2 linked regions of the Mus musculus genome follow. The protein of the gene in region 1 interacts with the protein of each later gene in a pairwise test. Links are inferred from orthologs where the notes say so. Each region holds a gene or a part of one and is shown on either strand. Other genes may lie near its edges.

What was found. The genes of interacting proteins can lie anywhere in the genome.
Region 2: the proteins of Kctd6 (region 1) and Ctnnd1 interact in binary tests that used the Homo sapiens proteins (3 or more experiments, as listed by UniProt). The two-hybrid records come from large-scale screens. The link is inferred for Mus musculus from reciprocal best matches to the Homo sapiens genes KCTD6 and CTNND1.

What each region holds. Positions count from the first base shown.
Region 1 is NC_000080.6:8,212,783-8,216,884, reverse strand, and holds the start of Kctd6 (BTB/POZ domain-containing protein KCTD6), read right to left. Parts: upstream 2,805-4,102; 5' UTR 2,543-2,804; intron 2,384-2,542; exon of another isoform or gene 777-2,383; intron 771-776; exon of another isoform or gene 1-770. UniProt on the Homo sapiens protein: Probable substrate-specific adapter of a BCR (BTB-CUL3-RBX1) E3 ubiquitin-protein ligase complex mediating the ubiquitination and subsequent proteasomal degradation of target proteins.
Region 2 is NC_000068.7:84,616,227-84,619,744, forward strand, and holds part of Ctnnd1 (catenin delta-1), read right to left. Parts: intron 718-3,518; coding exon 254-717; intron 1-253. UniProt on the Homo sapiens protein: Key regulator of cell-cell adhesion that associates with and regulates the cell adhesion properties of both C-, E- and N-cadherins, being critical for their surface stability.

The sequences.
Region 1 (4,102 bases):
ACAATTCATTTCCCTTTCATCTTCTCTCCCATCCGGCACAACCTCCTCCAGTGGAGGGCTTAATGAGAACAAGCCAGGCGACAGAAGGCCTCCAAGGGGGCATCAAGCAGGCCAAGGTGAAATGTTTCCTCATAAGATTCCTTTAAGTGACTTTCCCTTACGAAAGATCTTTCTTAGAGTCATGGCTACAACCAACGACTATAAAGTTCAAAGAAAGGCTTTCTGACTTGTAAAATCGGTTTACCTGAAAATACCTGACCTTTGATTCAAAAAAAAAAAAAAATTATGGTCCTAAAGACTATCATGCTTGCTTGAACTTCAAAGGTCATTGTAACTAATGTGTAAAATCTGATAGTATGTTAGCAGGTAGTTAAGAAAAACATATTCTGAAGAATTTCTAGAAGCCTGAAAAGAAGTTACTAATTTACTGACCCTAGCAAATCTGAAGAATGCACACTCCAGGAAGTTAACAACTTAACCTGTGAGAACCCTCCTTACCACAGCAAAGCTACAGTGGGGGTTATGATAAGACAGCACAAACATTCTAGACTTACTTCTGCTATTGAGTAAGACGCTCCAGAGCAAAAGTCCTCCTCCCCTGTAACAGTCTATATGCCGTAATGCTAACCTCGGATTAGAAAATGTAATGATACAACTGTAGTCACTGCCTTCCCACGCTTTCTGGGTAGCCCTTCCAAGTGCTTTTCTACTGAAACCTTTGTGTCTGCCATCCCAAAATGAAGACCGGTAAATTTTCTCTCTCCACCTATACTTACCTTCCAAGCTGCCTTTGTACTGAGTTTCTCTGTTCTTGGGAACGTGGGAGTTTGAAAGTGAAATACTTTTTATAGTAATTGGTTCAGTGGCATCTCCTGGCGTCTTCGGAGTTAACATCCACATACAGGCCAGCACAAGTAGCGAGCGCACAAGGATAATGGGATTATAAAGCTAAATTACCACTAACTAAACCCCTCTCTCAACCTCGTGGGCTAGAAGAAAGGAAATGTAGGCAAAAAGGGAGAAAGTCCTACAAGAAATTATGAATCTTCTGACAGTATCAAACCAGAAGAATATATACTCTCCAGCTTAAGTGCTGTCAGAGTCACAAATCATAAAATTCTACTTTCCCTCAGTTTCCACCAAAATGGGTATTATGACCTTCCCAAAAGTAACCACACCGTTTAAACACAATGGAGGTAAAACTGGCCGACAGGGCAGTGAGGAGTGGCGCTCTGGATTCACGTGCAGCATGCCAGCAGAGGGCTGTGAGAACCTGAGTAGACCGCCCTTTACTACTCGCAGCATCACCAAAATTTAAATAGGTAAGTCAGACACGGTGGGCGAACATGCAGGTTAGGACCAATCTGTGTTCCCACTCTGTCCCGTCCCTGGCCCTCCTTTCCCGGAGATCCCACCGCAGTTGCCGTGAGAAAAACTAAAGGTAAAATGATGTCCAGCGTTCGCAGAGACAAACAGACACGTGAGCTCTCGGGACTTCTAGAAAGCATGACTCAGGGTTGTCTCAAGATAAAGCAGAAGACACACATACGTGTTCCGTTTAAAATAGACCCCAACTATTAAAATCCAGGATGCGACGATGGATCATAGGAGTGACCATAAGACTGCTTTCCACGCTATTGCTTCAGCTAAAATACACTTTAAAAATTTTCAAATTCTATGGCCATCTTTCTACCTACGGTATTACAAAAAACTAAGAATCCGTGTGGGCTCCTGGTTTTCATCCAAAGGGTGATTCTCCCACCCTACCTACTTAGATCTTTACTCTTTTGAAACACTTCTGGCTTTGGGCCTGTAATACCCCACCATTATTCCCATACTAGAATATCTGCAACAGCGAAAAAGATGAGCCTGCCAAGGGGGGTACATTGGAGCAGGTTGTTTGGGCTATCCCAGACATTCTTAGCTAAACCAGGTCACATCGGTCTATTTGTCTGCATCACGAAATCCTGAAACCAGGTTTATCAACTTGCTGTATGTACTGGTGTACAGAACAGAAACATGACAACTTCAGCAGAATATCCAAACAGGATCTCAGTCACGTTTCGTTTCCCCGTCCCACCCCCAGACACAGCCTCCGCTGCCATCGCCCAGCAGGTGCTGCAGGGGCTCCCCACGACCTCGCCAAGGATCACCTCTTAACACCCAGCACTAAATCGCCGTGACATCCCAAAATTCCGGTAAAAAGCTGCAATTTGTGCACAAAACCCAAAAAGCAGAGCTTTAAACTAGGGCAGTGGCGGCTAATAAACACCACTCCCCAAAACACCAACCCTTTGCCCCGCAGAGCCCGCTGGTCCCTACTCCGCGGTCTCCCGCAAGCCAAGCCCGGCCGGCCACGCGCACCGAGCCCCGAACCCGAGCCGGAGCCCAAAGCCCGAGGCGGCCGCGCGTCCCCGATTTCCCCGCCCAGGCCCCGCCGCGGGCTCGTGCCAGCCCGGGGACGCGCGGCCGCCACCCGCCGTTCTCCTCAGCCCGACTTCCCGCAGCCCCGGCCCGCAGGCCCCGCTCGCGCCCCACTCACTGCACGAGCGCGGAGGCGACCCGGCCGGGAGACGCCGGCGGCCCGAGAGCGCGAGCGCGGGGACGAGCGAGCCCGCGCCCCGCGGCGGCAGCGGCGGCGGTGGCGGCGGCGGCGGCGGCGGCGGCAGAGGGGACGAGTGAGCCGGAGCCCGGAGTTGCGGCTCCAGCTGCCCGGCGCGGGCGGCGCCTTCTCAGCAGAGTCGCGGCGCCGAGAACGCGGACGCCCCCTATCGGCGGCGCGGGGCGAAGGCCGGGAAGCCGGATCGCCGCGGGCACTCTGGGCGCTGCCGGGGCGGCGTGGTCAGGCGGGCTCTGCAGCAGTCCCGAAGCCCCGCCTCCGTCCCGTTCCTATCCCCGCCCCGCCCAGGACTCCCGCGCGGAGCTCCGCCCAGGCCACGCCCCTAACTCCCCCTCCGCTTTCAGCCTCTCCTCCTGGCCGCCAGCAGTCTCTTCCCTGCTTGCCCAGGACTCCTTCTCCGCAACTGTTTCTCCTCAGCTGTTTTCACTAAGTCGATAGACCTCATCGCATGCAGGGCTTAGAGAGAAGAGCAGCCACCCAGACCGAGGCGCGTCTCAAGACTCAAAAAAGCAGCCAGTAGACACACACAAGACAAGTTCGAATCCTGGTGAGAGCGGTCCAATAAGAAGGCTGCCTTGGCCGGGCTTGGTGGCATACGCCAGAACTCCGGAGGCAGAGGCAGGTGGATTTCTGAGTTCGAGGCCAGCCTGGTCTACAAAGTGAGTTCCAGGACAGCCAAGGCTACACAGAGAAACCCTGTCTTGAAAAAACAACAACAAAAAAAAGAAGGCTGCCTTGGAGAATAAGGGAAGATGTGACGATCTGATATATATAAAATATTAGTATACATTTAATGTTATTAATATTGATGTAATTATATTATATTAATATATACATAATAATGTAGTTAATATTATTAATGTATTAATATATAAGACTCCTGGCCTTATATATTAAGGCAGGCCATTCTGTAAAGTAATGGCTTAGAGGGACCACCGATCCAGCCTTTTAGGCAGAGAAGAGCAGCCAGTTAGAAGGGCAGAGCTAACTAACGTCATCCTGTGTAATACCTCTGAGGATCTTAGTCTGGATGGGACTGGCAAGGGTAATGTCCCTTCAGGAAGGACATCAAGGCTGCAGGGCTAATTGGATTCCATGCATAGACAAGATGCAAAAGCCACCACTTCTAGCTAGCCAGATCTCAATCCACTTCTACATGGGTGAAAAGCCACTGGCCTTAGAAACTCACCTGGGCCAGGCATAGTAAAAGTAGTGCACATCCTTAATGCCAGCACTTAGAGGCAGTGGCATGTGGGTCTCTTGTGAGCTCTAGGTTAGCCTGGCCCACATAGCTAGTCTCTAGGACAGATGAGGCTACATAACGAGACCCTTTCTCAAAAGAACAAAACAGAAACTTACCTGGTTTACACATCTGCATGTTTGTGAGGTGGTTCTGAAATCTAGTTTTTATATGTATGATCATCATCTAATATTCTATTTTTTCTCCAAAAATCAAATTGATAGGTTAAATAAGCAATGTGG
Region 2 (3,518 bases), on another chromosome or scaffold:
GATAATGGATTGGCCAGGCATGGTAGTGTATGCTTTTTATCACAGAATTTGGGAGGCCGAAGCAGGTAGATTACTTCAAGTTCAAGTCCAACCTGCTCAACATAGTGAGTTCTAGGCCAGCCAGAGCTACACAGTGAGACCCTGACTCAAAAAGAATTAATTATTCAATAAATTAATTAAAAGTTAAGAGTCTAGAAAGTTCTAGATCCATACCTGTCTATAGATTAACAGTGACCTCTAACCTGGCACTCACCAGTAATCACTTCAGTCAGGTCCATATCACGAGCCTTTCGGAGCAATCGGACCAGAGCAGGAACACCATCACAGTTTTTTATGGCGATCTTGTTATCTTGGTCACGTCCAAAAGAGATATTCTTGAGAGCTCCACAGGCTCCGAGGTGCACTTCCTTTTTGGGATGGTCTAACAATCCTACCAATATCGGGATACCCTTGAGCTTCCGCACGTCAGTCTTCACCTTGTCATTGCGGTAGCATAAGTGCTGCAGGTATGCAGCTGCATTGGACTTAACAGCATCCAAGCGGAAGCCTAACATGGCAATCACCTCTGGCAGCTCAGGCTGTCTCCAGTTTGAAGGTGGGGGCATTCCCTTTCGCAAACTATCCAAGCTTGCTAAACTGCCCCGCTCATGCTGAGCTAAAGGAGCCCAATAGTACTGATCAGGCGGCACCTCTTCACCAATCATGTCTTCATAGCTCCTGCAATTTTGAAAGAACAAAGAACCAAGCAGTTAAATCTGGCTTCATAGACATTCCTATTACCAATCATCTTCAAGGTAGGATCACAGCTCTACAGAGATCATGTGTCTCCTCTGTATGGTCAATTTTTAATAATTTTGTGAGCAAGTGCAAGTACTCTCAATGTCCCTCGACATTATTATTATTATTTTTTTTTGAGACAGAGTTTCTTCCCAAATCTGAAGCTTGCTGATAAACTAGTCTGACTGTCCTGCAGGACCCAAGGATCCTCTTATCTCTGCCACCACAGAGCTTAGCTTGTTATGTAGGTACTGGAGCTCAAATCCTGGTCCTCATGTTGTGCAAAAAGCATTTCACCAACTGAACTCTCTCCCTGGGTCCAATTTTAATAACTTAAAAGTAACCTGTGGCCGGGTGTGGTGGCGCACGCCTTTAATCCCAGCACTTGGGAGGCAGAGGCAGGCGGATTTCTGAGTTCGAGGCCAGCCTGGGCTAAAAAGTGAGTTCCAGGATAGCCAGGGCTACACAGAGAAACCCTGTCTCAAAAAACCAATGAATGAATGAATGAATGAATGAATGAATAAATAAATAAATAAATAAATTTTAAAAAGTAACCTGTGAAGTTTGCTGATTGAGAAAGACAAGTATGTGGAACGTTCATCACAAAGAGAACACACAAGGAATCCGCACACAGGAAAGAGCTAGTGGAACAAAACTATTAAGCTCGCCCTATTTTGGAAATTGAAGAGGCACTGATCAAGAAAAACAGAGGACTTCTGGCTATATTGTTGAGGAGTTAGCTTTAGTACTACTGAGGCATAAACTTGAACACTAGCTGTCACAGTTCATCCCAGGGCCTCACGTGCTATTCAGTCAGACAGGTATGTTCCAAGAAGAGTTCCATCCTTCAACTTCTACATTTCCATGTCTGCCAAATGGCACCTATACACCAACATATATTGGAATGTCCCAGCTCTTGGATCAGAAGAAGAAACTGAAAGATGTCAGATGAGAAGCAACACTTCCTGTTTCAGTACCATCAATACCCACTAGAGGGTGAGCCTGTCACACTGTTATTTATAAGTACAAAGGAAGAACCCTATTATCTATGAGCTCACCTCACTCACCACCAACCCAACCCCCCCCCCCCCCCCCCGGGCTCCCACTGGGATAGGGGACTCTATTGTGTAGGACTCTCCAAATAAGACTTGCTTGTTCCATAAAACCACTCCCACAGTCACCAAACATTGAAAATTAGCCTACCTAACAGGTATCAACACTGATCATTAAACAATAAAAAACTCAGTAGAACAAATCATTTCATTAAAAAATAAATAGACTTGGCAGTAGTGGCACATGGCTTTAATCTCAGTAGTTGGGAGACAAAGGCAGGGCAAATCTCTATGAGTTCAAGGCCAGCCTGGTCTACAGAGAAAGCTCCAGGACAGCCCTGGTCTTGAAAAACCAAGGGAAGTAGGGGGTTGATAGTAAAGGCACCTTTAAACTTAAAATGTCATTTAAACAAAATAAAGTAAGTTGTTTTGTTTTAAAAGCAGATTGCTAAACACTATATGAAAAAATATTTCCTTTTAATGAGAAAACAGGATACATGTTTTCAAGAAAACCCCAAGAAACACCAAACTGTCCATGAGAGAATGGTGTTTTAGGCTGTATGCTGAGCATATTTTACTTTTCTTGTTTAAGACAAGCAACTATAAAAATAATTGCCACTGCCAGATTTTGTTTCAGTCACTCAAGGAAGTCTATCTTTATACTTCCTTCTTTCATAGGCAGTAGATCAAGATTCTTTCACAAATAACAAAACTGCACAAATGACCCAATAACTTGCTTAAGGCTCTATAGATAATGGCAGAGGCAAACTAAAACCAGGGTTTTCAAGTTCAGTGCTTTTGCCACTAATCACTGCCTTGCTATGAAAGTTTGACCTTGCACTATTCTTGAAGGCCGAAACAGGAAGCAGAATTCTTCTAGTCAAGAATCTTGCTAGTCAAGCAGGATTCCAAACTCAATGTCACCCTGGAATAAACCCAAGAACCAAGCCCCAAACCCGCTCTATGTGACTGGCACTTCAAAGGACAGCAGGGAACAGTCTGGTCATCCACACCCACCTGTGTCTAATCTCTCTTGGCTATTGAGGAAGTCAGAGCAAGCAGACTTCAGCCCCACTCCTTGGGCAGACTCTTCTAATGATAGCTGCTATCTATCTACCCTAGCTAGCTTACACCAGCTAAGATCTGGTGCCCCTTTAGGAATAAAAGGTGAGTCACATGGGAGTTGAATTTGCTAACCACGCCATCTGAAGAGTGTCAGTGACTCAGGCTTAGATAATAGGGCCTCTACTCCTGTCCCAGACTAATTCAGTTTATGGTTAGCCAATACCACCTAATATACATTTGGAAAGTGCCAAGACCTTTGCTTTGGAAGGTCATGAACCTACTTACAAAGACTGAGAACAGCTGCCAGGGCACCCTCACTATCAAGATAACTATAAGCCTTCCTTTATTTCTTAACTTGGAAAATATAGACCCTGATTTTAAAGTAATGTTTGCAGCCCAAGACCAAACATGTTTTTTTGTGCACACCCATAAGTAAGAGTTTTTAAAATAACCTTTTAAAAATATGAAATCCCGACAAGAGACATGACAAAGGCACTAATGAACAGCACACAAAGCCTAAAATGGGTCCTTTAAAAAAGGTCTACCAGCCAGAGCTAAATAGTGATACCCTGTCTCAACAATAACAAGAATAAAGAAAGGGAAGGAAGAAAGAAAGGGAGTGAG